6 separate regions of the Mus musculus genome follow, and regions 1, 2, 3, 5 and 6 are each reported to be linked to region 4. The links are microRNA targets in miRTarBase. Many come from high-throughput screens and were not tested one by one. Region 4 holds a microRNA gene; each other region holds the end of a gene's coding sequence.
What was found. Region 4 holds the annotated microRNA mmu-miR-1b-5p (UACAUACUUCUUUACAUUCCA, at 2,701-2,721, opposite strand). A microRNA usually pairs through its seed, bases 2 to 8, with sites in the 3' UTR of a target mRNA and lowers its output. Matches are read on the target gene's strand: a 7mer-m8 pairs with bases 2 to 8, a 7mer-A1 pairs with bases 2 to 7 and ends in A, and an 8mer does both.

Region 1 (5,361 bases), not on the chromosome of region 4:
ATTTCCTTTACAGGCAAGCATCATACCGACCGTGGACCGTGGAGTGACTGGACCACATGCACACGCACACGCATCCCCTGCTTAGGATGTCGGTGTATGTACGAAGGCACTAAAGCGGTTTTAGAGAATGCAGGCAACAACCCCACCCATTCACTTTACCTGTGGAGCTGGAGTTTCTTTCCCACTGGGAAGCTTAAAGTTTGAAAGAAGCTGTGGCCAAGACCTCTGGCCCCAGGAGGGAATACAAAAGCAGAATTCAACATCACCCAAATCAAAAGGAAACACTCCACATCTCTGCCTCCCAGGATGGGGGGAGTAAGCAGCAGATCTTCAAAACAGCATTTAAAACAAGCAAACAGTAGCTGGGAGCTAAATAAAAAATGAAAAGTAAAACCACTTGTTCCTTATTAGACTCTTCTGTTTCCTCCTCCTGTAACAGATGGGAGGCGAAACACACACTTTTCACCAACAGAACAGTCCATAGGTAATTTTCCTTTAGTAATGCTCATATTTAAAATTCGTTTAAAAAATTATTAACCTATATTTCCTAACTCTTTACAGAGATTCTCAGCAATCCAGCAACCGCACTGCCACAGTTTAGAGCCGATCCTTTTGCTTAAGCTACTGTTTCTTTCTTTATTCCTTGCTTTTGTTGATGGGGCTGGAGAGCCAGGGAGAAGAAGGGCTGCACTGGAGAACAGAAACATGACGGGGAGACGTCAGTCCAGCCTCATACAGAAGGAACAATGTGGTGTCACTCCTACGAGCTCAACAGTCACCCCCCCAGTAAGCCATGCACAATGTCAAGCAAGGCGGTGACAACACTCAGAATGGCTGAGCCTTCTCCCACAGTTGTTAAGATAATGAATTTACCTGTTGCTGCTAAATTGGTAATTTTTAAAAAATATTTCTATGTATTTTAAAATGTGTGATCCCCTGTATGATAATAACGTTTGGAGACTTTTCTTTTTACATTTTTATAAGTAAAAATCGTTTAAACTTTTTGAAGTTTCAGGAACTTGTAAAAGTTTACTAACAGGAAAGAAACAGCTGTCTATCTAGGATAAGATACAATTAAATAAACCATCTTCAAAAAACTGGCTTCCTACCCTAGAATTCCTGAGAATGCTTGCAAATTTTAAAGCAGGAAAATAATGTTAAAAATAAAAAACAAAAACACTGTTAAATGCTCCCAGAGTTAGTCTTCATCTAAAATATATATTTATATGTATGTGTGTATGTGCATATATATATGTACATACATATATATATATATATGTATATATATATACACACACATATATATATATATACACACACACACACACACACACACGCACTTTTTGGTCTTTTTTTTTTTTTTAAGTTTTTAGTTTTTTTCCCTTTAAGCTTATGATGGAAGAACATTTTAGCTTCTCATGCTTATTTTTACATATTTCAAATCCCTCATTTATGTCTTGTAAACAAGAGGGGCTCTAGCACCCGGCTTTCACCGTAGTATCGTAAGGAACTCAACTAAGCCATAGTGCAGGTCAAGGACCCAACAGGCAGAAAGAGGAGCAGGGGCAGAGGAGAGGATAGGCAGGGCCATGAACCAAGAGCGGCAGTGGACAGTCCCCACAGGCTCCCAGGAGTCTGGGGACACTAAAGTTCAGCCTTCAGTCTGCAGATGTCTGAATATAAGCGGCGCTTCACCTGGACGTCATCACCTGCGACAGAGCTCTGCTCCAACACTGAGAGTCAGTGGGGCTGGAAGGAGACATTTTGCAGGGCAGAGGTGAGAGGGGGTGGTGGTGATGGAAACCAGAGAGCAGGAGGAAGGCAGAGTCCATGAGAACAAGGTGTTGCAGGAACAAACCAGAACTGCACGCTCATTTGCCTACCCACCTGCCAAGGGCGCCCAGATTGTTAAGCACAGGTGCTCATGGGAATGGTGCCCCGTCAGCCTCCTCTGAAGCTAGGTTTATACCCAACAAGGTAAGCCAAGACGACTACAGAATTTCCCACTCACTGTCTTACAAAGCCACTTACATGCAATTTTGGGTTTTTTGTTTGTCTGTTTGCTTTTTCCTATCCATACCCCTCTACCCACCTACACCAAAGACACAAGCTGAAAGTTAAATACATTAGGCATTGTTGTATCCTTCACTGAAGATGCTAAAGAAAGAAAAACTCCCTTGTCCTCAATAGCAGCAAGTCACAGAGGACAGCAGAGGTCTGCTCCCGTCAGGGGTTGGAATGGGCAGGTAATTGCTGGTACAGAATGTCGGCACTTCATGTTGAACAGACAGTACGATGCAGACTGGGATATCACACAAGTGCTAGCATGTTCCCCGCACACATCACGCCCGCCCGCCCGCCCGCCCGCCCGCCCGCCCGCCATCTATTTAGCACGTGAGGATCCCCTTCGGGTTTACTTTCACTCTCTTCACAATAAGAAATTTGATATATTTTGATTCCAACATAGTACATACGTATTGGTGATAACTGTGGATTAAACATTGCCTCCTGTTCGGCCCAGAGAACTACTACATTGATGTTTTTTTAAAAAAGTCTTTAAATACCAAAATAAAAAAACCAACATTACAAGGAAAGAAAAAAAAAAAAAAGAGGTCAAAACCAAAACAAGGTGCAATACTTTGCTAAGTTATTTCTGCCTAAGCAAAACCACATACACAGGAAACAACACAGAGAAACAAAGGGAGACACTTGAAGTACACACTGGTTTAAGAACATTCGTTAAGTAAACGTTTCTGTCAGTGATGGCCTGGTGCTGTAACACGCCACGGCCTGGCACAGGTAATGCTCAGCGAGAGAGAGAGAGAGGGGAGCAGAGAGGGAGGCGCTGCGATGCTTCCAGGAGGCTGCTCATAACTTACTGTCTTCCTCACATGATAATGAGAACTGATAGAAGTAATTGAATTTGCATTACCTGAATCCTTTCAAAAAATTCTCACACCCGACGAGCACAGCAAAGTGGGAACTGTTTTTCAGCTTTTAAAACATCACACGATTTAAAAATTATTGAATCGTCTGTTCTCACTCAAAGTAGCCAACTGGCCAGCTCAGTCCTTAGACTCCTGCTGCCGGGCAGGCAGCTGCTTACTTCACAGCACAGAGGTGAGCAGCAGCTTCTTGGAGGGAGGGGCCTTCTGTCACACCTCTGGCCTTGGCAGTGCTCTGCTCTGCAGCTGGGTCGACAGAAGCTGGGGACCTCCCCGCCCCCCCCCCCCCCCCCCCCCCCCCGCATTCTGGCTGCTGCTCTGTCACTGAAAAGCACCCTTCATCTCGAGGCAGCCAGAAGAAGTGGCTTGAGTTGCAGCGGCTCCCTGTGCTCCTGTGTTCTCATAGTCAGAAATAATGAAAAGCGGATGGCCGGCCAGCCAGCCTTTGGAACTGTCAGCAATGCAGCTTTCTGAGAAATCAGGGTGGGGGTGGGGCGGGGCGAGGCAGGACGAGGAGGGCAGGACGCAGGCACACGAAGAGAGACAGAGAGGAGGATGCACGCAAATGCACATGAACACACGTGCACACACATACCAGAACGAGCATGCCTGGGCAGTTACATGTGCCAGAACACACTGGTATTTATCAACCAGCCAATCACAAAATTTTACCTTTTTTTTTTTTTTAAGTTTTTTTGTTTTTGTTTTTAAAGTGAGGCTCCGTCAAGTCTTCCCTCCCCCCTCCCCCAACAATTCTTTTGAATTTCCCTCCCACCCAAACATGGTAGACCTAAGGACGGAAACACACCCAGTGCAAACAAAGTTAAAAAGCTATTTTTTCAGTATATATGTTTCTTAGCAACAACTTCCATATAACATGAAAAAAGTGAAAAACTAGAAACTAATTTTTTTAATTTTTTTGTGTTTAAATTTAAATGGTATGTGTACTTGCTTCACATTGTCTTTCTAGGTTGGCGTTCATGATTCAAGTATTTCAAGAGTGATATGTTCTCTTTTTGGATTCATATTCCAAACGAAAAAACTGAAGTTTTAAGGGAGGCAACTATGTGCTCAGACAGTCTGTCAATGACCCACCTTTTTTCTCTCTCCGTTTTCTTTTTTCCTTTTAAAAATGTATTTATTGCAAGTTGAAAAAAAAAACGAAAAGGTCAAGTTAGTGCTGCTGCTGTTCCAAAAAAGGTCACGAGGTCAGAGTTGAAAGTTTAAGTTCAGATTGAATCCGACCCTCCTCCCAGAAGGTCACCAGGTAGTAAAGGAGCAGGGCTGCCCATCCTATGGGGATCTTCCACCGTCGGGACTCCCCACAAGCTAGAAGAATAGTTTGGGGGGCCCCACAAGGAAGTGCCGGCAAGATCGGCCCCACTGCTGCCACCAGCGCTGCTGCTCCACTGCCCGAGCCCGGTGGACCCACCGAAAAGGTTCAGCGCAGGTCCAACGGGGTCTGCTTGGTTCTGGCTGGTCTCCAGGGACTGCCACCCTGTGGCAGGTGCACTCGGGGTGGCTGCAGGCGTAGGGGGCTGAGCTTGAGCCAGAAAGCGGCTGACTTCATCCTCAGTGGCAAACTCGGCCAGGATGGTAGTGTTTCCCAACACACACCTACAGAAAGGAGAAGAGTCACGTGATCCGAGGGATCGCCAGCAAGGGGGTGGGGGTGGGGTGGTGTACAGCTGTCAGCCCTCTGCTACTGTGTTGTCTGCATGCCTGACGACAGGTGTGGCGATCATGCTTGGTTTATGCAGTACTGGGGACTGAACGTAGGGATTTATTCATGCCAAGCAAGAACACCTGAGCTATGTCTCCAGCCTGTGTGTGTGCGTGTGTCTGAGGTGGGGGGGGCGGGGGCAGAGGGAAGGAGGGAGGGAGGCAGGGGAGGATATTTAGGGCAACCTTACAACCCTGAATGATGTGAGGTGAGGAGATCAGCACTTGTTTGTTCACACCCACCACCACCACCACCACCACCACCACCACCACCACCACCACCACCACCACCGACCCAGAAAGTGAACAGAACCCTAACGTGAACTGTGAACGCTGGTGAATTAGGTGCTAAGGGATGCTTGGAAACTGTAACAAAGGATACTCTAGGAGTGATAACAATGGGTTGAGGAACCACTGAAGGAGTACTCAGGAAGTTGCTATCCCATCCTCTCAATTTTGCTGTGATTCTAAACTAATTTTTAAAAATTTGAAGTTTTACAAAAGCAAGAAGAAAATGTCAGCTTTCTTTCTTCCCCTCCCTCCCTCCCTCCTTCCCTTCCTTCCTTAAATCCACATGAGGCAAAGAATCCCATTCATAACAGCAGGCAAGCCAACACCCAGGCCCCATTCTGTCTGAGCATGGACTTGCAGCTGGGGCCTGCTATCACTTGTTTGTGCTCTCTCTGGATTTTTG
Region 2 (5,000 bases), not on the chromosome of region 4:
CCTCATTATTTTATGGTTACATTCCTGCTCCTCGTCACCTGTCAGGCCTCCCCTTCCGGCCAGTGCGGGAGTATTGATGTCTGCCCTTTTTCCTTCAGTGTTGAAATAATACCCCTTTTTCCTGGAATTAGAGTAGGATGTTATTTTCTGTTTTATCTTTTTGCAGTGTTCAGGTAGATAAGTGGGGAAAAACATTGTTCTTTTTACTTTTAGAAAACTGAACTCTAACATAGATTAAAAAAATGTGTTTACTACTTTCAGTCGACCTGATAAAAAGCAACGTATGGTAACTATTGAAAACGCCAGGCACCGAAAACAAGAGCAGAAGCACCTTCATCCACAGCCTTATGAAAGGGAAGGTAAATGGCAAAAATACGGTCGCGCTAACGGAAGACACACGGCAAATCTTGAGCTAGAACTGGGGCAGTTACCTTTCGATCCTAAGTACTGATTTGTGATTAAGTTAGGAAGTTAAGAGCTGTGGATGCTATCTACTTGGTTTGATGTTGAGATGAACTCCCCATGACTGTCTTTATATTATGCAAAAGCAAAGCTTACTAACTTGCATTTTCCTGTAGCTTAGGTTTGTTAAAAACAAAAACTTTTTTTCCTGCTGGGGGGGGGTGGGGGAAATGGTAGTTTTATTAAGGAAGCCAGGCATGAAATAGTCTGTGCATGAAACAGGGCTTGGTTTGAGGAGCTGAGCTCAGCTCACACAGGCATTTCGTGCCGTGTGGAGGTGTGCAGCAGGGCCTGAGGACTGTGCTGAGGCGGGACTCCGCGCTAACATCTCTACTCTCACGCTTTTGTCTCTCTGTGGGTTCAAGAGCCCGTTGGTTTGTGAAGAGCTGGCTGGCTTGTCTTGTGAACTCTCTTGCACACCTGAATGCTATGGAAGAAACAATAAACTGCACCGTGAGGAAAACTAAAGGTCTCTCTCAAGTCTGGCGCCGTATTTGTGTTCTCTGAGAATGCCTCAGGACAGTGTATGGGACAGCTGTCCCCAGTGGCTTCCTCTCATTTCACGGTCACCTACAGTTTCTCTCAGTTATGCCAACGTCTCTGCAGAAGTCCTTACAGTTCAGTTCCCTCCTGTGTTGACCCTGCCGGGTAACCTTCGCTCGTAGACGTGTATGTGACTTCCAGTTCGGCGCTCTGGCCAGTGAGTGTGGAAGAATGTAGCGGCCCTCTCGTAGTTCCCTGAGGTGAGGAAGGTATTGATCTCCTGCAAGCAAATAAAGACATGTTTGCCGAGTGCGACTTCAAGGAATTCTAGAGTTGCCAATTACGATTTTTCTTTTGTGACTTTTTCCTTTTCGAAGCAATTCTGAAAGGCGTGACTCTGGTAGCTAAACATATCTAGTAAGTTACAGAACAGCTGATTTTACTGGGGAAAGGATCAATTATGGGAATCATTATATTTTGTCAACTTTACTGGATTAAGAAACTATTAGACACAGGCAGTGGTGTCACACGCCTTAAATCCCAGCACTCAGGAGGCAGAGGCAGGCGGATCTCAGGGTTTGAGGCCAGCCATTAGGGTGGGCAGGGGACATGGCTCATTTGGTCAACTGGTTGCTGACCAAGCGTGAGGATCTGAGTTCAGACCCCTAGAACCCACATGAAGAGTTGGACGTGGGAGTTGGGTGGGATGGCACGTGTCTTTAGTCCTATATAGCGGTTGGGAGGCAGATGGAGTTCTGTGAGTTCCAGGGCTACATTGTGAGACCCTGTCTCAAAAATAGCTCAGACATGGTGGCACATAACTGTAGCCCTAACAGTGGGTCATTGGAGTGGGGCAGAGAGAGGGTTTGGGAGGCTGTGGCAGGCCACAGTTGTTATGCTCCAGGTTTAGTGAGAAAATGAGGTGGAAAGGGACAGGAGACGGCGTCGATAGACTTGAACCTCTGGCCCTTCCACGTGTGTACACAGAAACATGGTTACACGTACACAACGAGGAAACAATACAAGGCAGTAGTGAAGCACACTTCCTAAGTTTGTAAGTTTTTAAAGCCTTGAGGGAAGACCTGCCCTGAATGTGGGTGACACGTTCCTGTGGGCTGTGGTCCAGGCTGAATAAAGGGAAGAGCAGACCAACCCAGTATGATCCACCTGTTCCACGCTGTTCCACCCAGCACCATGCTGCCTCGGCCACGCTGGGCTGCTGTCCTGAATCTGAGCCGGGGTGAAGCCTGTCTCCTTAAGTCAGGTTTGTCAGGTGTTTGGCCGCAGCCATTAGAGAACCAATTCATACAGAGGGCGAGAGGGGTCGGTGAGGCAGATGGTTGTTAATCGAATGAAAACCTTTGAGTTGACATACCTTCTCCAGAACATTGAAGGTGACCAAGTGAGTGGGGAGTGACGCATTGCTGTGAAATTCTTGTTGTAACCATCTTAAGGGGTTTAAGTAGAACATATCTGCTTCATCAAGATACTGAGTTTTTCCAGTCAAGTCTGGGGGACACTGGAGAAACCGCATGGACAGTGGGCAGTGAACATGGCTGTGGAAGAAAGGGCCAAAGAGTTAGACACCCTGGGCTGGTGAGATGGCTCAGCACTTAAGAGCACTGACCATTTGTTCTTCCAGAGGTCCTGAGTTCAAATCCAGAAACCACATGGTGGCTCACAACCATCTGTAATGGGATCCGATGTCCTCTTCTGGTGTGTCTAAAGACAGCTACAGTGTACTCACATAAAATAAATAAGAGAGAGAGAGAGCGAGTGCAAGCAAGCACAAGCGTCCAAGTTTCCATGTCCTTTCAGGCTGACCTTGAGCCCAGGCAGAACTGCCTTCCTCACCTGTAGTAAGGCGTGGAGTGGCAGGGCATCATTATGAATACTGAGGCCGAAGCTGGGTCAGGACCTCGGGGGCAGACTTTCTGAATGTGATTCATGACATCCAGGGTGCCTCTCTGATGAACTAGGCCAGTGTAGAATGCCAGTGGCACATTTGACAAGAGCAGGAAGCTCAGGGCTGCCTTCCTCCATGTCTTCAGGTGGGCTAGTGAGTAACCTGCATGGAGATAGGTGGGTAAGTGGAACACGGGCAGCTTCCTGTTCCTGTTATCAGCAAATACACTTGTATGATTTTCCATGCAGACATAAGCAGTGGTACTGTGAGGCAAACTCAAACAGGCAGCGAGTCATCTCTGACCACTCGCCACCACTGCACTCTCAGGCAAAGTCTAGCCGCCTAGTCAGTCAAGGCACGGTGTGGGTAATGGCTGTCCAGTCTTAACGTGTAGACTTAAGTCTCTGAGGGCATCTGACATCCTAAGATTTCCAAGGGGATTCTGACGTTTGATTCCAGGACAATTGGAAGGGCATAGTTAAACAGCAATCCTGGACTAAGATTCATGATTTTCTTAACAGGAGCAATACTGCTTGTTCAGACATACCCAGTTAGATCCCACACCCAGTAGGTGTTTTTATTTGCATGTAGTATGGACGTGTAGTTCTCAGAAGCATCACTCCAAGTGCCTACTTTGCTCCTGTTGTCTGGTCCTAAGAAGTGTTGTGCTGAGATGTAGCTAAGTGCCAGGTTGCTTGCCTGGCTTCCATCTCAACACAAATACAAACCGCTCCCGCTCTATGTGAACTAGCTCTTTGTATGCTTGTGGGTTTTGTGGTTTTTGGAATGGGGTTTTACTATGTAGCCCAGGCTGGCCTCAGACTCTCAAATCCTGGGATTCCAGGTATGTGCTATCATGCTGATAAATGTACTAGCTACCTATGAGCCACATCTTAACCCTGCTCACTCACACTGACTGGACGGAGCACTGGAAGGGCTCTAGCTGTGTGGGCCAGACTAGCTGTACCTCAGCTCTGGAGCCTTCTCACTGCCCAGCTTTACCTTTTGCCACACAGTCTTCTCCAACGGTGACTTACCAGGGTGGTTCACATCGTGGAGAGAGTGGGAAGCCCTGAGCTTTCATTTAGTCATTCCATTTCCTGTGCTGCAGTGGCAAGAAATGCTAAACAACCACAACAACAAACCAAAACAAACCAAAAAACCTCACGGTCACTGGGCAGTGGTGGCACAGCAGAGGCAGGGCAGATTTCTGAGTTCAAGGGCAGCCTGGTCTACAGAGTGAGTTCCAGGACAGCCAGGGCTACACAGAGAAACCCTGACTCCGGGGGCTGGGGGGAAGCCAAGGAAAAGTCCCCATTGCCTTCTCTAGTATGTTCTGTCACTTAGAAATACATGTTAATTTTTACATTTTTAAACACTGCCGGGGAGGAAGGCTGTTAAGTCAGTTGTGGTGTTTACATGAGAAAAGCAAAGGGGTAGTTTAGCTGGAGAACCAGTGGGGAAGGGCAAGCTGCGCTGTATCTTAACCTCTGCACAGGCAGAGGCACCAGGAAGTTTAGGTTGCAGCTCTCGTAAGGAAACAAAGCCGTATTTTTCACTGACCACAACCTAAATACTAAATCCCCCAAGAAAGACCTTATAGTGGAATTGTGAACATCAGACATCAAAATTAACTGGAGACTATGTAGTGTGTGATCTCAGTGACCCCAGTTAGTAGGGAGTTGGAGGCAAGAGGGGCGCAAGTTTAAGGCTAGCCTGGGCAACTTACAGCAAGATCTTCTGGTTGAGCAGCTGCTTCCAGGGCAGAGGACTGGGAGGGGTGGCAGGGGTAAAGGTCTTGCCACACAGGCCTGAGTTGGAGCCTAGAGTTCATGCCTCCCAGGTCTCACTAGACTGCTCTAGAACTTTGGTTTCTTCAGTCTCTACCTCCCAAGTGCAAGGATTACAAGGATTACACCACACCTGCTGTTTTGGAGTTTTCAATTTTTTTTCCCCCTTGAGACAGGCTCTTGCCATGCATGTAACCCAGGCTGTCCTTAACCAGCAGTTCTCTGGCCTCGGCTGTTAGAGTGCTGGCGTGCAGACAGGTACCACTTTCCCTGGCCCGTTGGCTTTAGAACACAGAATCCGTCTTGAGGCGGTGCATAAGTAATGTTGATAGACACGTTGGAACTCAGAACAAATGCTC
Region 3 (5,343 bases), not on the chromosome of region 4:
TACAGGGCTTTATCATTGAACTATGCTTCCAGCCTCTTATTGTTACTGTAGTGTGTGTGTGTGTGTGTGTGTGTGTGTGTGTGTGTCTCGTGTGTATATGGATGTTTTGCCCATGTCTGCATACCATGTGCTTGCTTAGTACCCACGGAGGCCAGAAGAAGGCATCAGATCCTCTGAAACTAGAGTTACAGATTGTAGTGAGTTACCATGTGTGTGCAGGAATTGAACCCAAGTCTTCTAGGAGACCATTGGTACTCTTAACCACTGAGCTTTGTAGACCAGGTTAGCCTCAAATTCACAAGGCCTGTCTACCTCTATTTCCAGAGTGCTCAGATTAATGGCTACTATTCCTTTTTGACAATTCTATGTGTATTTTGGGTAATAGTATTTTCTTCAATTCTGTGGCTTTTGTTTCTCTTTCCTTCTTTTCTTCTTTCTTTTCTTTTCTTCCTTCCTTCCTTCTTCTTTCTCTCTTTTTTTCCCCCTCTATGTAGCCCTGGCTGTCCTGGAACCCACTCTGTAGACCAGGCTGGCCTCGAATTCAGAAATCTGCCTGCCTCTGCCTCCCAAGTGCTGGGATTAAAGGCATATGCCACCACTGCCTGGCTGTTCTTTGGCTTTTCTTATACTCTCTTGATTTTAGAAAGAACAAAAACAAAAACCAAAAAACAAATCCATGGCAGAAAAAGTTACTAAAGAGCTCAGATAAAACTAAGCTTATTTTCAAAAATGATAAACAGGGTCTTTTCAAGCCCAGGTCTCTGTGAATCCCAGGCTTCAACCCTGGGATTTCAAAAATGTTTTTTGATAAAAGAGCAAGTCATCCCTAGACTGTTCTTTTTCACTTCATTCAACAAAATGCTGCTGGAGTAAAGCCAACACAGCAAGTGTAAGGTACTTCCTGGATTGAGATCAAGAACTTCCTCATTTAAGAAGGGAGGAAAAACCGGGCGGGCGCGGTGGCCTAGACCTTTAATCCTAACATTCAAGCAGCAGAGGCAGGCAGGTCTCTGACTGACTTTTGAGGCCAGCCTACTCTACAGAGTGAGTTTCAGGACAGCCAGAGCTACACAGAGAAACTGTTTTACTTTGGATTTTATTGTTATGAAGAGACACCAAGACCAAGGCACTCTTATAAAGGAAAACATTTAACTGGGGCTGGCTTACAGTTTCAGAGCTTTAGCCATCATGGTGGGAAGCATGGCAGCCTCTAGGCAGACATGGTGCTGTTAGAACTGGGAGTTCTACAGCTTGATCAGCAGGCAGCAGATCTTTTGAAACCAGAGTTACAGATTGTAGTGAGTCACCATGTGTGTGCTCATAACTGAACCCAAGCCCACCTCCACAGTGACACACTTCTTCCCACAAGGCCACACCTCCTTCAGTAAGGACACCTCCTAATAGTGCTACTCCCTGTGGCCAAGCATACAGACACATGAGTCTACGGGGGTCATTCCTATTCAAACCACCACAAAAACCTTGTCTCAAAAAACCAAGGGGAAGGGGACAAAACAAGACCTCTAAAACATAGAGTTTCTTTAACAAATGTAAAGAAATGCAGGGTTGTAAAGGCATGTGGTTGGAAGTGATAAAAACAATGAGGCAGGTTACTGTCACTGGGCCAATGGTTACAGACACACCAGAAAGTGTACTTAACAGGGACATTTATTTGGGGGTTTGTGTGTGTGTGTGTGTTCCTGGAACTCATATCATCAGGCTAGGGGCATAGTTCCTTCATCCAGCAAGCCATCTTACTGGTGTGCTTTTTTTTTTTTTGAGATAGGGTCTCATGTCTGAAGCCTGGCCTCAAACTCAATATATAGTCAAAGGTGACCGAGAACTTCTTATCCTCCTGACTCTGCCTCCCAAGTGTTGGACCTTGAGGCCTGACCTCTATCTCCCTGCCTCCCTACATATTATAAATGTAACTTAAAAAAAATTCTTAATGGTAGAGAGGTCACTTCTGGCGAAAGCTTACTGGTTCTTTCTTGAGCTAACAGTAACTGTTAAGAAAGACTGACAAAGGGAGAGATGTCTCAGCAGTCAAGAACACTGGCTGCTCTTCCAGAGGACCCAGGATCAATTTCTAGTACTCACATGGCAGCTTCTAGCTGCCTGTAACTCCAGTTTCAGAGAATCTGACACCTTCATTCAAGCATACATGCAGGCAAAACACCAGTGCACATGAAATAAAAATAAATAAATTGATTTTAAAAATAGAAAGAAAAACTAACAAGCCAGGTGGTGTTGGCATACAGCTTTGATTCCAGCACTTGGGAGGCAGAAGTAGGTGGACCTCTGAGTTTGAGGCCAGCCTGGTCTACATTCTACATAGTGAGTTCCAGGACAACTAGGGCTACACAAAGAAACCCTGCCTTGAAAAATCAATCAATCAATAAAATAAGTAAGTAATTATATTTATTTTTTTAGCACCCTGATGAAAATATACTAGTGGAGAGTATTCTCTTAGTAAGCTGGTGAGGGTTCTTATTTACCCAAAGCCCCAAATGATTCAAACACATTCACAAACTTAATGCATTGCTATGTAGGTCTCCCAGTTTGCTCAGGGTGAAATCACTTTGTTCCCAATGGTGCTGCCCCTGACACGCACAATAATAAAGGAATAACTCTAACTTTTGCTTCTCTTTGAAGGAAAAGCCACTTAATAAACAATATTCTCTCAGACACAACTATACACATACATTGTTTTTATTTTACACCACAGGGCCCAATTGTTTGGCCCTGAAACTGAAAAACAAGGCATAGAAAAACCAAGGCAGAGAAAGTACATTCTGGCATTATGGTCAAGTATCTGTTCTACCTAAAGAGAAAAGGAGTGCTAGGAACAGCAACTTCTACAGACAAATTCAAAAGACTTCCAGAGAAATCCAGAAAGTGGAACTTAAGACTCGTTTTTCAGTCTGTTCTGTTTAATTCTATGGCTTTTACATTTCAGGTCTCAGCCTGGCCTTGGTCATAGACTCCAAAAGCCATGGGTGTATTTGAGGACCCTAACCCTTATTCCTCGCCAACCTCTGGGTGCTATAGCAAACTAAAGGCTTCCCTGGACAATGTTGTCTTCGAGCCCAGGCTTGGCCTGTCTGAGTGAGGGCTGACACTGACTCCCACAGCCCCCGCTGCTCCTCAGGACTTCACACTGAGGCTCTCCTAGCACACTGTTATTTAAAATGACTATTTCTGCTCAGTCCCCTACCATCCATCCACCACACCAAAACATAAATAGATACATACACATTTGAAAAGGTTAAGTAAAATTAGCTTTTAGAGCCCAGTAAAGGGATGGCCCACTGAAGCCTGAAGAAACTTGAAGATTCTGAAACAGAAGGAAAAAAATAACACAGAAAACCAGTGCTTCCCCCAAATACTGAAGCCCAGAGGCCCTAGGAAAATTTCCTACATGTCTAGACTCAGGTGAGACTATCACATTTTTCCAAGCCAACTTTGGGAAGCCTGAAACTTTGGGATTTTGAAATTTTCCAAGCAACACCAGCCCACAGCTGGAAGAGACTCTTGCGTAATCTCATTTACAGACTTTTGCAGAAAAACTACACTCCACCCCAAATGTTCCTAGGTCTGCTGAATCCTTTCCATGTGTTCTAATTGAATTTATTCAAGATTAGTCACAAAGAACAAAAGTGTGTGCGTGCGCACATGCGTGTATCAGTCGGGCTGCAGGAAAGCAATCTGATGATGGTTGCAAATAACCAAAAGGACCAGAAAAGCAGCTCTAGCCAGACTCTCGGGAAGTCAGACTCACAGCCCTGGGTCAGGTGGGCACATACGCCCGACTGTACCCTACGCTGGTTTTTCTACATGTCTTTCACACATGTAGACAGCTGCACAGTAACTCTCCTTTAAGATGTCTGCAATGACTTCATGTCACTTCTGCCACCAGAAATAGGATGGTTCTGTAGGCATAACCTCTAGGAACTGATGCTCAGGCTGCCTTGGGGGCTATTTTTTCCTTGCTTGACTTATTTGGTAGGGGGATTTGACATGCTAAGAACATGTCATCACTGCCCTGTCCGAAGCTCCACGCTCGGCTGAGGAGAAGCAGCGCTGACGGCACACACTCCATGAAGGCAGCGGGCAGCCAGCGGCTACCTACAAACTTGCTTCCTTGACCCCAGGCTTTGGTTTTGTTGTGGGCTTTGAGGGGACAGTGGTTTGTTTTTGTTTTTTGAGACAGGGTCTCACTCTGTAATCTTGGCTAGCCTAGAACTCACCATGTAGTCTAGGCTGGCCTTGAACTAAAGATACTCCTGCTTCAGTCTCCCAAGTGCTGGGATAAAAGGCATGCACCACAACACCCTACTATGATATCAGGGTTAAAAGAAGAACAGAAATCTAATTCTACAAGGATGGAGAAAGAGAAAATGCAAACATAAAATTCCACTGCCATTTCTGTTGATTCTGTAAGGAGGAGCTGAGCTGAGTCCAGTTGCTCCTTGCAGCCGGTGTCCAAGTTCCCAGTTACAGGAAGAACAGGTTCCCACACAGCTGGATGGCTGGCTCATGATGCAAAATCTGTCCGGACAGGAAAGCTAGCTTGTGGGCATACTTGCAAGGAGCTGGAACTCGGATGGTACCAGGCCAATTCCAGTACATGTGGCATAGTTTGAAAGTCAACCTAAAGTTAAGAAGAAAATGTGTTATCACTTCTACCTCCACCTAGGGGTGGGAAGGATTTCACTCTCTTGGGGATACAACACAGCACTCCTACCAACAGACTGGGGGAGTCTGGGAAACCTACTGTTGTTTTTCAGGAATTGTTAGTTTTATAATTCTTTCTTTAGTTTGGTTTGGGGTACAGGTTCTCAACTATCTGGCTTATGCTGGCTAGTAACTCCACTAGCCCAGGTGGGCTTTGAGTTGCCAGTGATCTTCCTGCCTCAGCCTCTCAAGTGCTGGAACTGTAGGTGTGAGCCACTAGGTCTGTCCAAGAGAGAAACCATTATTTTTCATCTGGAGTTGTTTATATTTTCACATAAGCCAAAGGATGGGTAAAGTAAGTCAGCACAAGTGTGATGGTATCCAGAGGACCGAGTTTGGTTCCCAGCAACCATAAGGCAGCTCACAAGCATTTGTAACTCCAGTTCCAGGGGATCTGACACCCTTTTCTGACTTCCACAAGTACCAAACACACATGTGGTATACATATATGCATGCAGGCAAAACACCATACGTGTGTGTATAATACAATAAAATCAGAAAAAGCCACAAAGGAAAAGGCTATAAAAGGGCATTCACCAGTCTATTGGGTCTGTACATCATAATTGTGGTAGTATGCCATAGTCATTTGCAGGGGTTATCCATCCTTCT
Region 4 (5,361 bases):
CATCAAAAAAGAGTTGGATTATGAAGTATTTTGGTAGCAGAGGGATTTTTACATCCCGCAGATCTGCCTGAAGATTGTCTTGCTACCAGCCAGGGCAAATTTGTTGCCCCACCCCACCTCACCCCACCCCCGCCGCCCTTTTTCTCTTCAGGGCTTCTAAGTATAGTGACAGCCGCGTGAGGTTTTCCTAGTCTCAGCACAAGCTCGGGGAGAATCTGGGAAATGTAAGTGGAAACATGAGACACGGCTCTATTTAGCAGTACTTAAAAAAAAAATAGCAGGACAAATGGCAAAGCAGTGTTGGGACCACAGGAAGAACAATCAATAGGCAGAAAGCAAGATAGAATCCTCCTCAGCTTTTAGATCGACAATCGACAGCTGAGAGACTATTTTTTGCTATGGCTGACTAAATATGGTCAGGGAAGAGAGAGGCACAAGAGAGTCTGTTTGCCTGGGAGTGCATGTTTCAAATGCTTAGCTGCCTATAAAGCTCGAGCAGCCTAGGCTGTGGCCACTGAGTCGGGAAGAACATAGGTTGGCTTCTGTGGTGACTATGTGGGAGTCCTGACCTCGCTTGCAGACTTGACCTCTGGATATAACAAGGTAGCTTCACTCCAGATCTACCACTAACCCTGGAAACTCAAACTCCTGCTCCTCCAAAAGAATCCCAAAGCAAGAAAGATGCAGAATATTTCCTGAGGCACCAGAAGAACCCAGTATGGTCTGGTGGGCACAGGAAACTGGGTGAATGCTTGCAGCTAATTGGGAGAATGTGAGGTGTGTTTAGGGTTTTGCTTGCAGTGGTTTTTTGTTTGTTTGTTTGTTTTTTTAAATCTTAGATTACAAAATTAACATCCTCTGCAACTTTTCCCCTCTTGTAAATCATTTCATCTAACAAAAACCCTAGGTACATTCTCTTTGCCACTGTAGCAACCTTCCCATTACTTAACTTTCTCTACATATCGATATAATTGATATATTACATTCTAAATTATATGACTAATGTTGATTCAATTTGAGAGAGAGAGAGAGAGATTGCATGCCTGCATGCACATCTGTGTATATGTGTCTTTCTATGTCTATGAGAAGAGCAAGGGAAAAAGGTAAAATTACGTTGTTTTTGTATATTTAACTTGTCTTTCAAATGTATCTTACAAGGTAAGGTTCTGTGTTCACTTACACTGGGTGCTTACCTCACCCAGCTTATAAAACCAGTGCTGAAACAGCAGCAGTGTGAAAGAACGGTCATGATGTGGTGACTGCAATGTTACTGTAGGTCACTACATCTCTTCCCTGTAAGTGGGGCAGGACACTAAGCTCACAGGTAAATCAAGCACAAGAACCAACTTGGAAGGACGCTTCTGACTTTCTGCATGCTTATCTAATATTGACTGATATATATTCTCATTGTTAAATTAATTTATATCTGGGCATAGGCTAATTTCAAAGCTCAAATTAATAATTTAGTTTTAAAAATGCCATTGTTCAAACAGCATGCCAGATAACTTCAAAAATATACAATCTACCACTAACATTACATCACTACAGACAGGGTCTTTATTGTTTTCAATTAAACAGTTGTTTCAATTGTGTCTCGCTCCTCTAGTAAACCTGCATCCCTGCCTCCAGAGCACAATAGCTTCTAAAGGCTACTTCAAGATTTGGGTTATGAAATGTCTCCCCTTGCTTACTACTCAGGCCACAGACATCCGCATGCTGCTGCACGGTGCAGGTCTCAGCGGCACTGCTGACTGAGGCCCGCGTTGGCAGCTTACTAGCTTTCTTCATGGACTGCAGAAATCCTATTCCCCCACTTCCCTCCCAGCACCCCCTTTTCTATTCTTTACCAAATCTCAAAGCTTCTCAATGTCTCCTTTTGAATTAACCTTCAAAATGTCTTAGTGACTATAGGCCACTCCCAAATTATTTTTTTTTTCTTGTGCTAAATATTCAAGGTAAAACCCAGAGATTCACAGACTAAAGTGCTTCTCCTCTTTTATGGAGACTTTGGAAAAGTTATTTTAGTACTTTTCCATTATATTAAAAACCATTTTTAAAAAGTAATCTCATACAAACCAAGCACGTAACTATTTGAATTTGCATTCAATGCAAACAGAAACAGAACAAAAACTTGGCTAAATGATTTGTAATCTGTTACCTTGAAAATAAATTTCCATTTAAAAACATTAATTCACTCACACAATGAAATGATCCAATTTCAAAGCCTGTGCTAACTGTAACTTGTTTCTCCCAATAAGTTTTAAGTAGAAGTATCTGGTTTATAAAAACAATTTAGACTAAATTGATTATCATCTGTCTGTAAAGGATCTAGAAGCAAATTATAAAGAAGAGGGAGGCACGACGGAGAGAGCAGCAAGCGTGCTAACATTTCTGAATACACTTAAGACTCTGCTGACTGCATCTCTTGGAAAAGAAGCAGCAGGGCAAAGCATGGCAGTGCTTAAAAGAACCACAAGCAGAAGTGGCATTGATGGGATCAGGTAAATCTGTTGTAAAATTCAGTCTCTGATAAGCTAATCTCCGCACTGGATCCATTACTCTTCCAGAAAAGTAATCCAAATGTCCTACTAACAGCTGGGTGAGGTGGGCTGCTTCATGTTTTCACAGCTATCGGCCGGCGCAGGAGTGCCTACTCAGAGCACATACTTCTTTATGTACCCATATGAACATTCAGTGCTATGGAATGTAAAGAAGTATGTATTTTGGGTAGGTAATGTCCGCCAAGAAGAAGCTAAAGGAAACTTTCCAGGAGGATGACTTCCATACTCTGAATTCACCTGTAATACTAACAGCCCCATTCCAAAAGGACCAGCCATTCACTGGGAAAACTAACATCCCTTATACTGTACTGAAGAGATAAGTCCCGTGGAAGTGGATTTTAATTTTCACATTAAATCATACTACACTCTACACTGAATACTCACGTGATTAAAATGTGACTACTACAGAGGAAATAGTATTGCTAGCGCAAAACAGTGAGACACAGGATCAACCATTATCTGTCTTCACAATTGGATATTTTAGTGTCTCACATCTATCAAATCAGGACCAACAAATCTAATAAGAAAAATAAAGCAACAAAAAGCTGATTTTACTCATATAATAGCTATTCTTCACATGTGGCAAAATGTATAACCTATTAAAATCAGAGGATCTCGTAAGCCAAAAATTTTGGTTTCATTATTTTCTTTTCTGACAGCTATTGAAACTATAATGTTTAAAGACTATCTTTTAAGTAAAATTATACTGCACACATGAAAACTGGCTTTTGTCCTTTTCCAGCTTGTCAGTTCTTAACCCAATCTGTACTTTAAGTGCAGTTAATACTTACAGCATGAAAAAGAATGATAAAAATGGCAAAACCCTAGGCCACAACTAAAATGTAAACAGGATATATTGGCAACAAACTGTCAAAAACCTGAGTCTGTATTGTCCTTGCTTATATCAAATGACATTGTTTTTCTCACAATGAGTTATGAACAGCTACATTAGTTATTCCACAGGTCTGAAAGGTTTTCATAATTCTTTAAGAAACATTTTCACAACTAATAATTTGTTACAATCCTTAGAGAATATTAGCTATTCATTTATAAAATAAAACTGAAAACTGATTTTGTTGCTTCCAAGTTCAGCTTTTGTCTAGGAGTGTTTTGAATCACTTGAAATGTCACATCCAGCACTTAGATCAGCTGTCCCTTTTGAAGTGAGTACATGTTAAACTCTGGGCATCTGCTGACACTGCTATTACTCAAACACTTCAACTGTCACCCTGACAGGGATAACAGATGCTGACACTATCAGATGCTGGACTATTTTTTCCCATGGCCTCTCCTTGTCCTGATATGGCCAGTACACGAAACTCAATGATCCAAAAGCACACTTGAGCAACTGCACTTGCTGACTGGCTGCCAGGGACCTACTAAAATAGAACCAGGCAAGTGCTATCTTCAGCACTTAAGTTTAAGCAACCAAATACCTGTTTCACTATTTGGAAAAAATGATGCAAAGAATTAAAATTACATTAATTTCACCAGAAGCACAATAATTAACAACAGATGTAGAATAGAATATTAAACTATTTGCATACTGTCTGAGATTGTGTTGTCCTTCTACCATATTAGTTTAAAAAAATAAAATTATATGGTATTTCCCTCAGCATTCTAATTTTACAGACAAGCTATAATATATCAAACTTTTATTGTATGAGTATGTGTCAGAAGACATTCTCTTCAGGCAGGAAATCTCCAACAGAATCACATCAAATGCTTAAGTACTGGTTTTAAAGTATCACATGGTAGGTTTTAATATTCAAAATTCAGGGATTATAGCCAACTACCATACATCAATGTATCACTAACCTTATAATAAGAACAATCTATACTCAAAACAGCATAGAATTTAGTCAAGAAAATAGATTTTTAAATTTTATTTTATTTTTAATCTATTTTTTACACTCCACATTCCATTCCCCACCCCCACCCCCCTCTACCCTCCAACTGTTCCACATCCCACATCTCCTCCCCACCCCACCTCAATAAAATAGATTTTTAAGAAGGTTAATTTCTGAACTTAGGGTTAGTATGCCAACATAAACAAAAGCAAAGAATGACACTGAAGATATGTGTGATGTATTAATAAATTAAAGGACAGAGTTACTTTCTTAAGGCCATTCTTATCCTTCCACTCCGTATCAGAACTTGTTAAGTCCTCAGCTAAAATAGAAGCAGTACAAAAATATGTAGCTAACATGACCCTTTTTCAACATCTAGTTTAATTACTTAAAAACCTGGTTTGCAGGCATGGTGGCAGACTGCTTTAATTCCAGCACTTGGGAGGCAGAGGCAGGCAGATCTCTGTTTGAGGCTAGCCTGGTCTACAGAGTGAGTTCCAGGACAGCCAGGACTACACAGAGACCTGAATGAACAAACCAACATGGTGATAATTTAGAAGCATTACTCTGAAACACATGATGATTTATCTGTTCTTTCAAATGTTGGTTTTGAAAGGCTACTGTGTGCATTTAAGAACTAAGTAAAGATGCACTGATGTGAGCTGCAAGAACAGCAGTGTAGGACATATGCCTAAACACGTGAATTTTCTGTTTAACAACTGGTACACTAGTGTGGGAACCTCTAATACCTGTCATGCTATATTTCTACAAAAGAGCATTTAACCTGTTTGGATCCTACACCAGCAGCGGCAATGCTTTGCTAAAGCTGGTAAAATGGAACCAAATCGCCTCTTCAATGGATTTGGTCCCCTTCAACCAGCTGTAGCTATGCATTGATTACACATGGACAGCCAGTGTTTTATGAGCATGAATTACATCTCAACTTACTC
Region 5 (5,361 bases), not on the chromosome of region 4:
CTCTCTCTCTCTCTCTCCCTCTCTCTCATCCACCTCCAGCCCCTGATGCCCCCTACACCCACTGGAAGCAGACTGTCTTCTACTTAGAAGACTACCTCACTGTCCGGAGAGGGGAGGAAATCTACGGGACCATATCCATGAAGCCAAATGCCAAAAATGTGGTGAGTCTAGGAATCCCTGCATGGCCAGGGCCAAGGGAAACACAGAGTTGACTCTTAGGGAGCTCTCAGAAGTCACCCACCTAGTCTAATGCCGTGTGTACAAATGGACCAACTTCTAGGGGAGGCAGACAGCAGCTGTGTTTGCAGGTGACCAAGGCCTAATTGGGTGACTTCAACTTTGACTCTTCCAAACTCCAATGGCTAGAGGCTTCCTAGACTCCGACCTCAACCTTGAGGACAGCTCCTGGAAGCTCCCAGGAGAGCCTTTGAGAATGGATGTTGTATAAATGGGTTCTGCTTCATTTAGGGTGAGTTGAGCCAGGAAAAGCAAGTGTCTGGTTTATTTCTCCAGCTGACCTGGTGGGACCTTTCTGAGATGCCCCTGTTTCTGCACAGATGCTGAAGGTCTGCAGGGTGGTTGAGGGTAATATCAAGGAAGACCCACCGACCTCAGTTACTGCCTGGATAAAAGCCAGGACTGCTTTCATGTGAGGACAGGAAGGCTTAGGTTAGCTATCAGAGCCCTTTCTGTGAGGATAATGGGGTACCAGAATGGTTTCCTGAGGACTGGTCTTGGAGTCCCCCTAGCTAGAACTCCCGTGGCTACCTATCCCCATGGCACCATGAGAAGTTCTGTGCCTGGGAAGGGCTACAATCTCCTACCCAGACTCATTCTGTGACCCTTTGCTCTTTCCTCATAGCGAGACCTCGATTTCACAGTAGACTTGGATTTTAAGGGACAGCTGTGTGAAACATCTGTATCTAATGACTACAAAATGCGTTAGCATACGTGGGAAGCTGCGGAGAGCGAGCAAGAAGAGGCACTCACTTCAGTCTGCCACGCTGCCCCAAGGAATACTGTTAGGAGGACCACACCAACCAGAGCTTTCCACTCTGCCTTGAAGATTGGCGAACTTGCCCAGGGCTCTCCTGGGCCCCCGCCATCACAGGGAGCCTCCAGGTCCTCTGCTCTGCCCCTGGAGCCCTTCACAAAGGCTTTGTTGTTGCCTTCCGTGCTATGGCTGGGGCTCTGAGGATGGAAGCATACCCATGTGCCCCCATTGTTCTCCTAAACTGACTCTCTGGATCTTTCAAGTTTTGCATGCTGCAGACATCTAGGACAGGTTACTTCCGCTAGAACCTGGAGACATAGTGTCTTTGATAGCATAAGCCAGATTTTCTGTCTGTGTGGTGGTTTGTGTGAGAGTGTATGTGTGTGCGTGTGCCAGTGTGTGTGTGTACAGCATATATATTAATTTACTTGCCCACCAACATCTGTATATGCATGCATATACAACTAAGTGGGCATAGTTGGGTGTTCATTCTGAGGGTGTGTGTGTGTGTGTGTGTGTGTGTGTGTGTGTGTGGTGAGTATGTGTGCCTAGAATCTATATTACTCTCAGAGGAGGTTCTGTTGCTTTTGAATAGGAATTTGTTTCGTGATTAGTTTTCCCCATCCTGATCCCGTAACAGATGTTACACAGCTATGAAACATTCTGTGGACTAGCTCTGGTCTCGTTCTGACTAGACTGTGGCTCTGAATCCTGAGCACAGTACCACGGGCTCTGTCGGCGCTCAATAAACACACATGAGAAAGAAGCAATGAGTACCTCTTTCTTTCCCTCATGCTCTAGAGGGTAAGGGTGGGTGGAGGGGGACGGTGGGTAGTAAGAGGCCACAGTAGGACAGAAAATCATGGGGCATAGGTCCTACTAGTGTTTATATTTGTTCACTGAAGGAGCAGCTGATAATTTTCTTAGCCTGAACACACCTTTCTGTAGATACCTAGGTCCTGCCCTGAGGAGTCAAGTGGGTCCTGGAGCTGTGGAGTTGAGGGTGCTGGGAGGGGGGTTAGAAAGTGACCAATAGTGCTTTCATGTAGCCTGGAAGCCTCTTACAGTCTGAACATGTACCGAGAAGCTTCAGGCCTGCTCTGCATATGGAAACAGTATTTCCACAAGATAGAAAGATGTGCTTTGATAGACTTGGTAGAGTGCTTGGTCTTTGTTTCTAGGTTATTCTTTGGCCTCTGGAATGTTAGTCTCACCTTTGTAGTCTCTCATAGGAGAGACATTCCAAGTGTTGAGGAGCAAAGGGGCTCATTGAAAGATGGAGTCCTTAGTGGATTGGTGGCGCCCAGGAGATGCAGAGGGGAGCCTTGCTAGGCAGGGGAAAGGCATACCAGTGAAGAATTGCTTCAGGTGGGACTGTCTGAATAGAATGGGTTATATGAGGTGGTGACAGGGACCACATATCCCAGCATGGCCTGACTCTATGAGAGGCTCCCACAACGCTCTCCAGAACCTCAACCTCCAATCTCTTGAGTACCCTACTAGAGGGATTTTAACACTTTTCTCTGATAAAGGTTAGCCCAAAGGCTATCTATCCTAGAATGGAAGGAGCTGCATAAAGTCTCTGTCTCATAAAGTCTCTGCATGGAGAGTCCTCGATTAATAACAAGCAACCCAACGGTAGTGTCTCTTTCATTTCTAGAACTCTATTAGGAAATTTGTCAACTTCCTCAAAGCCTTGGAAGATACAAACAAAATCCTTATCACCCACTTTGTAGCTGAGGTATGTTGGGACCCAGAGAGAAACCACAGAGGTTGTGCAGAGCTGAATCAGGCTTGATCCCATTTCTGCATGCCCTTCCCTGCCCTGGGCTGATTCTTCAGAATCTCGACCTAAACAGTCACACTCTTGCTGTCTTTAGAAAAAAACATCAGTGGGAATTATATAATTTAATCTGTATATGCCAGACAAGAAATACAAAGAAACTTAAGAGAGGGACAAAACCTTGGGTTAGAAAAAGAAATTTAAGTGAAAAGGGACATTCTGGGGACAGAAGAGGGAAACCTGCAGGACTATCGACTGTTGTACTAAGCTCTGGGCCTCTTATCCTGCGGCCTCTGAGATAAGCCTGGAAGATAAGCTTCCAAGGACTCTGGCCCAGGATCAGGTGTGGCCATCAGCTCACACTCAGCAAAGACTCAAGACATCTTGTATTCTCTAATCAAAGGATTTCCCAAGAAATAATTGTTAGCTACGTAATGGGCCCGATTGGGGTACTTTGAACCTCTGAGCCCACAGGAACTTGATGAGACTCCCTCACCCTCTTAGTCTCTGGGAGATTTGATTCACTCTTACAAATCCCAAGAAATAAAGTCACTCAGCTTTCCTTCATGCTGGCTTGCCTGAGTCCCCTAGGTTACTCCCTCCCTGAGAGTGTACGCGAGTCTCAGTCCCTGGGCAGGACCAGTATGAGACACAGTTGCTTGGTTACATTTCTTACTGCTGTGACAAAGCACTGGGGGCAAAGGCAGCTTAGGGAAGGGTTCCTGCTGTATTAAAAACAAATACATTTATTTTTAATTTTTATTTTTAAATTTTACTTATTTATTAATTCTTTGGTTTTTTGAGACAGAGTTTCTCTGTGTAGCCCTGGCTGTCCTGGAACTCACTTTGTAGACCAGGCTGGCCTTGAACTCAGAAATCCGCTTGCCTCTGCCTCTCAAGTACTGGGATTAAAGGTGTGCGCCACCACGCCTGGCTCAATACATTTATTTTTAATGTGTGGTTCCTCATGTCAGGGGAGACATGGTGGCTGGGGTGTGAACAGTTCATTATGGCAGGGGACCGGGTGGCAGATATGAGGTGGCTGGGCACATTGCATCCACAGTCAAACACAGGGGGGAGGGGGTGAATGCTTGCCCTTCCCCTCTATTCAGCCCAGGACTCCAGCCCACGAGATGGTTCTACTGACACTGAGGGTGGCCCTCCTTGCCTCAGTTAAATCTTTCTGGAAATATCCTTAAAGACACAGATAGAGATATGCTCCCAGGGCTGATTCTAAATCCACTAGGATTGACAGTGAAGACTGACCATGAGACGTAGCTCATTTCACTCAGAGGGACTTCGGAAACATGCTCAGATCGCACCCATGATCCATAAAGCCCGTGCCCCAACCCATCATTTAGAGACCCGCGATGATTCTGGATGCCAGCAAAAAGCCATTCTTCTCAAAACATCTGCTAAGGCAACTTTATCAAACATCTACCAGCACCTCAGCCTCAGGACAGCCAGAGCAAACAGAGCAGAGAATCCTTCCTATATGCTGGTCCCAAACTCATACCTCTGCGATCCCCTTTTCTGATGGTAGTCATTAGTTTATAGACACCTCTCCTTGAGGAATGAGTCAAAGGACCCAGAAAAACCCCTGCAATGATGCTGCCTGGTGAAGTGGCTTCTAGAAAGTAATCACTTGTAAGAAGCCAACTCTAAGATGGCGCCGGGCGCCAGGTGTGCCGTTGTCATAAACAACATCAGCACAGGTGTAACACCCCCCCCACACCCCCCGAGTCTGGCGCCAACCCCTCCCGAGCAGGTGCATGCAAATTAGGTGCCGGCAGACTGACCAATCCCAGGGGGCCATGAAGCCTTTCCCTGTGCTGGAGAGTATATAAGCATACCTCCCTGGGTTCCCTGGGTCCCCGTAGCAGCATTGAGGCATTCCTGCAATAAAGGCGGTTGAGAAGAATTCGACTGTGTTGTGTCGTTCTTGCTGGTCGAGAGCAGACGCGACAACCACTTACTCATGAGACTCTAGAGCAGTGGTTCTCAATTTCCATAACGCTGTGACCCTTTAATACAGCTCTTCATATGACAGTGACCTCCCTGCAGCCATAAAAATTATTTTTGTTGCTACTTCATAACTGTAGTTCTGCTACTGTTTATTAGTTCTAATGCAAATATATGGTTTCCTGGTGGTCTTATAGGTGACCCCTGTGAAAGGGTCATTTGACCCCCAAAGGGGTCACAACCCTCAAGTTGAGAACCATTGCCTTATAGCTTCACCATTGGCAAAGGAGATGGCCAAGGATGGGATTAATATAAAGCATTTCAGGAGCTTCAAAGACAAAGGAGACTCCAGGCATCCCTCACTGTCCTGATAGAGATGATACACGTGCAACATTCTACTTCCATGACACAGCCTGGAAGCCAGTCCTGAGGTCTAGGCTCATGAGGTCTAGAAGGGCAAGAGGCATTACAGGCAGAGCTTCAGTCAGTGATAGCTGAGGTCCCAGGCCTGCTGCCTTGGCCTTGAGTTTGGGGGCAGTATTATGGAGTGAACCAGAGCCCTGAGCAGAAGTGGCCTGCTTTGTGGCTTTGCTTCATTAGTACACAGGCTTGTAGCATCCTT
Region 6 (5,361 bases), not on the chromosome of region 4:
TCCTGCTCAGCGGCCAGGTGGACTTCGCTGCCTTTGGCGAGCCTGGCCCCTTCCCCGCGTGTCTCAAGGAGCCCGCAGACGGCCACCCCGGGCCCTTTCAGACTGTGTCCCCGGCCCCTGGAGCCTGCCCCAAGCCGGCCTCTCCCACCTCCAGCCTCCCGGCCGCCCACAGCACTTTCGAGTGGATGAAAGTGAAGAGGAACGCCCCCAAGAAAAGTAAGGAGGTGGGCGCTGAGGGGAGGCACCTGGGGGTTCGGGGGGGGGGGGCGCCTCCTTCGTGAAGAGCCGGGAGCGTGTGGCCACCAACCCTGGAGAGAGATTCTACTCCTAAGCCCTGGTCAGAGCCCAGGGTCAGAAAATGCCCCAGGAGCTGAGAGGCCTCAGCAGAGCGCTTCTTCTGGTTCAGCTGTGTCCATCACTCAGGAGGGCTGCGCTGTGACTTTGATTCTAAGTCTTAGCTCCACTGGATAGTTTCAGCATCTCCTCCTCCTGCTCACACCTTGTCTTTATGTTGCAGGCAAACTGTCCGAATATGGAGCCACAAGCCCTCCCAGTGCCATCCGCACAAATTTCAGCACCAAGCAACTGACAGAGCTAGAGAAAGAGTTTCATTTCAATAAGTACCTAACTAGAGCCCGACGCATCGAGATAGCCAACTGTTTACAGCTGAATGACACCCAGGTCAAAATCTGGTTCCAGAACCGTAGGATGAAGCAGAAGAAGAGGGAACGAGAGGGGCTTCTGGCCACAGCTGCCTCTGTGGCCTCGATTAAGCTTCCCCGGTCAGAAACAAGTCCCATCAAATCTGGCCGGAATCTAGGAAGCCCTTCTCAGGCTCAAGAGCCTTCCTGAGGCCCACTCTTAAGGCTGAGGACCTTGGGTCTACAGAAGTCACAGACTGCTCCCCACCTTTGAATAGACTTGAGAGCTTAGTTTGGGCTGGAGGTGGGCATGGGTAGAAATTAATACGGATTTTACTTGGCAAAGGAATTGTCTAAATTGGCTTCTGAGTTCCAGAGGCTGTGTATAGAGATATATATTTGATATCTTTTATTCGCATATTATTTTTGCCTCATGGGGAGGAAAGGTGTCTTAGCTACCTGCCTAAACGCTGCTATGTGAGCCACTTAAAATTCTCGGGTGCAGAGTGGCAGGCCTTCTTAGTCTAGTGTGGTCAGAAACGTATCTCTCTGAAGTTGTTTCAGTTTTAATTTCCTGGACAGACTACATATATTCAGCTTCCTGAGATGATCAAAGCTAGCTAGGGTTTCCTCTATGTAGCTAAGCTGCTTCAATGATGATCTTCATATTGTGCTCCAGTTTGTTTATTTAAAGTGGCGCTCCTACCTCTTCGTGTGCCTGGGTGAAGAAACACAATCACTGTTTAGTTAGTAGCGGAACAAATCCACAGGGTAGGTAAGGATTAGAATCTGAATTATACCTTGGCATCAGTTACTCAAACTTGAAGTGTAAATATATACAGTATGTATATTTTTTAAAGATTTGCTTGCAGTGAACCTTATATATGACATTTAATGTCATGCATAGCATGTAAAGATTTTGACTTTTTTTTTTTTTTTTTGGTAATAAAAGTTACAGAATCTACTATTCTCTGCCTTTTCTTACATCCCTTTCATTTTGATTCCTTAAGCTGATCCAGTTTCAAAATGGGAGTTTATTTACATTGGGGACCTAAAAGTACCACCCCCACCATCACCGTCTCCTCTTCGTTGTTTTTTGTTTTTGTTTTGTTTTGTTTTGTTTTATAAGAGTTTCTCTTTGTAGCCCTAACTGTTCTGGAACTCACTCTGTAGACCAGGCTGGCCTTGAACTCTGAGATCTGCTTGTTTCTGTATCCTGAGTGCTGGAATTAAGAGTGTGCATGGACCACTACGCCCGGCAAAAGTAACGCTTCTTACAGGTTGTAAGCACAAAGCAAATAATCCATAATTATCTGGGCAAATCTGATGTACATAGCAGAGAGCTACTCTGCTAAATTCAAAACACTACGGAAATAGTTCTTTCCCCTGAGCTTTATGGTGGACATGCACATTAACTCAAGGGCTGGGAGCCCATTACAGGACTGCTGAAAATCCAGAGACACTTGGGGAGATCTCCTTTTTCTTTTTCTCCTGTTGTCACAAAAGGAAGTGGAAAGGTGACCTGAAGACTTTGTTTCTTTATCCTTTGTGTTCTCTGAGCAAAGCCGCTGCCCACCCAAAAGTTCCCATTGGCCGATTTCCTATCTAAAGGAGGCTGAGAGGAGCCAGAATTAAGAGCATCCTCTTCCTATAAGCCAGCATTCTTTTCCTATAAGCCAGATCAGGCTCTGGCTGAGAACACAGGGTACTTGTCTGGTGCTTGTTTGTTTGTTTGTTTGTTTGTTTGTTTTAGTTTTCTGAGGCAAGGTTGGGTAGCCCTGGCTGTCTTGCAACTCACTCTGTAGACCACGTTGGCCTTGAACTCACAGAAATGCTCCTGCCTCTGCCTCCCAAGTGCTTGAATTAAAGGTGTGAGCCAAAACCACTGGCTACTTGTCTGTTTTTAACAGTGGAATATTTTTAAATTAATTTCTTAGAAGAGGTACAACTTGAAATCTGGCCAGAGGGTAGATTACAAATAAACAAAACACAAAACCCTCTACTCTTATTTTTCACTTAGTCTCCCTTCTGCAGAAGGTGCCCACAGTCAGCAGGGCTCCTGGGCTACCTCGCAGTTACATAAACGGGGAAGAAAAGTGCAATAGAAACACATATAAGCAAGTGGGTACTTTATCAAGTTAGGATGTTTCTCCTACTTTCTCCCCACTTCCTTAAGACTTCTAGATAGCTCAACAGAAAGACTTAAAGGTGCAAATGAGTCCCACAGAAACTGTATGCTATTATGTTTAGGCTGTAGTACAAGCACGCCAACTCTGATAACTCAAAAGTCTAGACAACAGTGGACGATGACTTTTCTTGATACGCAGCAATGTGATAGGAATGTGAAATTGCACCTGAATTCTTGTCCTCATCTACCATCTCATGGAGTTGAAAGAATTCAAGTTCTAACAACCTCAGCTGTTGGAGGGGGGGGGGAGGAGATCACTTTATGAGTAGGTCTGTTGATATTATTCTCATGTTTTATTATTTGCCTCTCAATAACTTGATGCGGATCAGATCTTGCTTAAAACAGCTGCTTCCTCTCTGCATTCTACAGCTGTTTGAAAAGACTTGTTAGAAGTCCTACTTAATTGCTCCTCTGTAGTCACCTCTAAGAGTTTCCTGCTGTGGTCTTTGACATGACTAGTCTTTCCTTTTAGACAAGCATTGAACTACCTAAACAAAAACTACTACCACCCTGGATCATTTCTTTAATCTACCACCCGTTCTCTGAGAAAGTAAAGTGTGTTTCTCATGAAGCTGGCCCTAGCACTTAACAGCCCTGATGGATGTCTTCCTTGATGAAGGTGGCTATTTTGACATTCATATAATGCTGTTCTATGAATCAGGCCAATATTAGCTATTTTTTGACCAACCCCAGGGATCTTTAAAAGCTTTCTTAATGCAGATCACTATACAGCTATATTCAGTATTAGGAAGAGTCCTGGCTGGAGATGGGACGAACTAGGTGACCTTTGGAGATCTCTTCCAGTAAAGAAACACTATAGAGAATGCTACGACTCAATGGCTTTTGCGTATTTGATTTTCAGATTTCCATGTGGAAAAAGTTGTTGCTAGGGAAGCAAGTCTGTAGGATCACAGGGACACTGCGGGAGCTCAGAAAAGGTGGATTTTAGACATCGTCAACCACAGCTTATCATGTGATTCACTTAGGGAACACTCTCCTACATACTAGTGGGAGCTCTGTGCTATTTTACAGCAGCCATCTTTGTACTCTGACGCTGACATGCAAAGAGTAGCCACTAAAACAACCCCATTTATATCTCACAAGATTTCAAACTAAATATGCTAATTCACCCTCCAGCAATCTATTATAAGAATGAATACACAATGGACAGTTCTGGCTGTTGTATAATTAAGTATTCAATGTTCCTTTGTCTTCATATAATGACAGAGTGTCTACTTTTCTGGATTCAAGATAATTGGGAGGAAAAGGAAAGAATTCAATAACATAAAATTTCTCTAACTTGACTATTGGCAAATGAAGACCTTGATGATGGAAAAACCTTAAAGCAATGCCACCTAGATTGTGAAAAGATTAATCATGAGTGATTTATTCTGCCTCAAACCTATGTGTGACGGGACACAATACAAGAAGAGGTTATGTCTGATTATCATGTCATCATAGAAAGTGAAGCAGGCTCAGGCAAGTTACATCAGCCCCGAAGTTCTTAATTATTTCTTATGGCCAAAGAAGTGCTCTATACTTGCTGAATATTGAATTTGAAAACCTCAGGATCTAATCAGGTTCTGTGAGATGTTTAGTCTGACCACAGACCTCTCAACAAGAAAAATGCCCATTGTTAAAACTTTATTTGTGGTTTTAAAGTAAAACCATGGTGGACATATCTCACAAATAATGATAAATCTCTATCTAAATAGAAATCAAGATTTCATTGTTTTTTACCTCTATCCTGTTTCCAAGATATGAAAATGCAATAAATATGCAAAACAGCTCTATTGAACATCTCATTTGTAATTGCTTCTTAAATTATCCTTGTTGCTCAGAAATATAATTTCAACAGAAACTGTTAAATTAAATTCAATAATAAACTAAGAGGAAAGAGATCCTAAATATTCATATGAAAAAGACTATCTATCACTTAGCTTGTAGAACTTTCAACATTATCTCTTCTGCTTCACATCCTATTATTGATGTCATTGGGAAAGGAGGGCCAGAAAGTGGTCATTTGAACTTGCAACAGTTAACAAAACAAGCCACAGGCAATTGCAACGCATTTTTAGGGGACATCAAACTGTTGAGTACATCCTATCATCAGGAGCCTGCACCTATGCAGTTTGAAAGGGCTCCATTAAGAAGACGAATACAAAACTATGGCTGAGAGATAAGGCTTTCATGGGACCAGAAAGGATCCCGATGAATTCAGCTTCGGTTTTGTTGGGCTCATGGAAATGCTTGTCCACCTCTTCCTTGAACTGATTTCTTTATCTCATTGACCAGTCCTTGCTCCTGCTGACAGGCACTGTTGCTTTCTCCCAACTTTGAGGAACCAGAACCCTTGTTGATTTCTTTCAAATGCATCAGCTAGCAAATAAGGGGAGATGAGGGCTGGTTGGTACTCTATTGCACCCTCCAGTCATGTGCTCTTCTGGGCCTCTGGGCCCCTGGCCTGCCTATATCACTGCAGAAAATGGGAGTGCCTCTTAACTCACAGGTTCTCAGCTGCGTGCTTCTGCT

Region 1: miRTarBase lists Tnrc6b as a target of mmu-miR-1b-5p. Seed matches in the 3' UTR shown: 7mer-A1 at 2,468-2,474 and 7mer-A1 at 1,256-1,262.
Region 2: the mRNA of Ccpg1 is a reported target of mmu-miR-1b-5p. The part of its 3' UTR that is shown has no 7-base or 8-base seed match.
Region 3: the mRNA of Piwil2 is a reported target of mmu-miR-1b-5p. Seed matches in the 3' UTR shown: 7mer-A1 at 3,246-3,252.
Region 5: the mRNA of Prmt8 is a reported target of mmu-miR-1b-5p. Seed matches in the 3' UTR shown: 7mer-m8 at 1,532-1,538.
Region 6: miRTarBase lists Hoxd1 as a target of mmu-miR-1b-5p. Seed matches in the 3' UTR shown: 8mer at 1,482-1,489.

The regions. Positions count from the first base shown.
Region 1 is chr15:80,928,290-80,933,650 of GRCm38, reverse strand. Tnrc6b (trinucleotide repeat containing 6b) reads right to left here. Exons shown (of 25, transcript NM_144812.3): 25 at 1-4,562. The coding sequence ends at 4,175. Among named protein-coding and RNA genes, the nearest start is that of Mir5113, 9.1 kb to the left of the region's middle.
Region 2 is chr9:73,015,071-73,020,070 of GRCm38, forward strand. Ccpg1 (cell cycle progression 1) reads left to right here. Exons shown (of 9, transcript NM_001286544.1): 9 at 262-930. The coding sequence ends at 451. Pigb (phosphatidylinositol glycan anchor biosynthesis, class B) reads right to left here. Exons shown (of 12, transcript NM_018889.3): 10 at 2,800-3,013; 11 at 2,321-2,501; 12 at 626-1,225. The coding sequence ends at 1,082. Among named protein-coding and RNA genes, the nearest start is that of Pigb, 22 kb to the right of the region's middle.
Region 3 is chr14:70,369,786-70,375,128 of GRCm38, forward strand. It overlaps Piwil2 (piwi-like RNA-mediated gene silencing 2), which reads right to left. Exons shown (of 23, transcript NM_021308.2): 23 at 2,692-4,651. The coding sequence ends at 4,495. Among named protein-coding and RNA genes, the nearest start is that of Slc39a14, 21 kb to the left of the region's middle.
Region 4 is chr18:10,782,846-10,788,206 of GRCm38, reverse strand. Mir1b (microRNA 1b) reads right to left here and starts at 2,761; the gene lies at 2,640-2,761. The region is part of intron 12 of Mib1 (mindbomb E3 ubiquitin protein ligase 1); the gene reads right to left. Mir133a-1hg (a long non-coding RNA gene) reads left to right here. Exons shown (of 3, transcript XR_877177.3): 1 at 1-777; 2 at 2,326-2,501. Mir1a-2 (microRNA 1a-2) reads left to right here and starts at 2,655; the gene lies at 2,655-2,726. It also overlaps Mir133a-1.
Region 5 is chr6:127,685,410-127,690,770 of GRCm38, reverse strand. It overlaps Prmt8 (protein arginine N-methyltransferase 8), which reads left to right. Exons shown (of 10, transcript NM_201371.2): 9 at 40-161; 10 at 863-1,762. The coding sequence ends at 946. Among named protein-coding and RNA genes, the nearest start is that of Gm38900, 38 kb to the left of the region's middle.
Region 6 is chr2:74,763,538-74,768,898 of GRCm38, forward strand. Hoxd1 (homeobox D1) reads left to right here. Exons shown (of 2, transcript NM_010467.2): 1 at 1-216; 2 at 518-1,605. The coding sequence ends at 852. Among named protein-coding and RNA genes, the nearest start is that of Hoxd1, 3.2 kb to the left of the region's middle.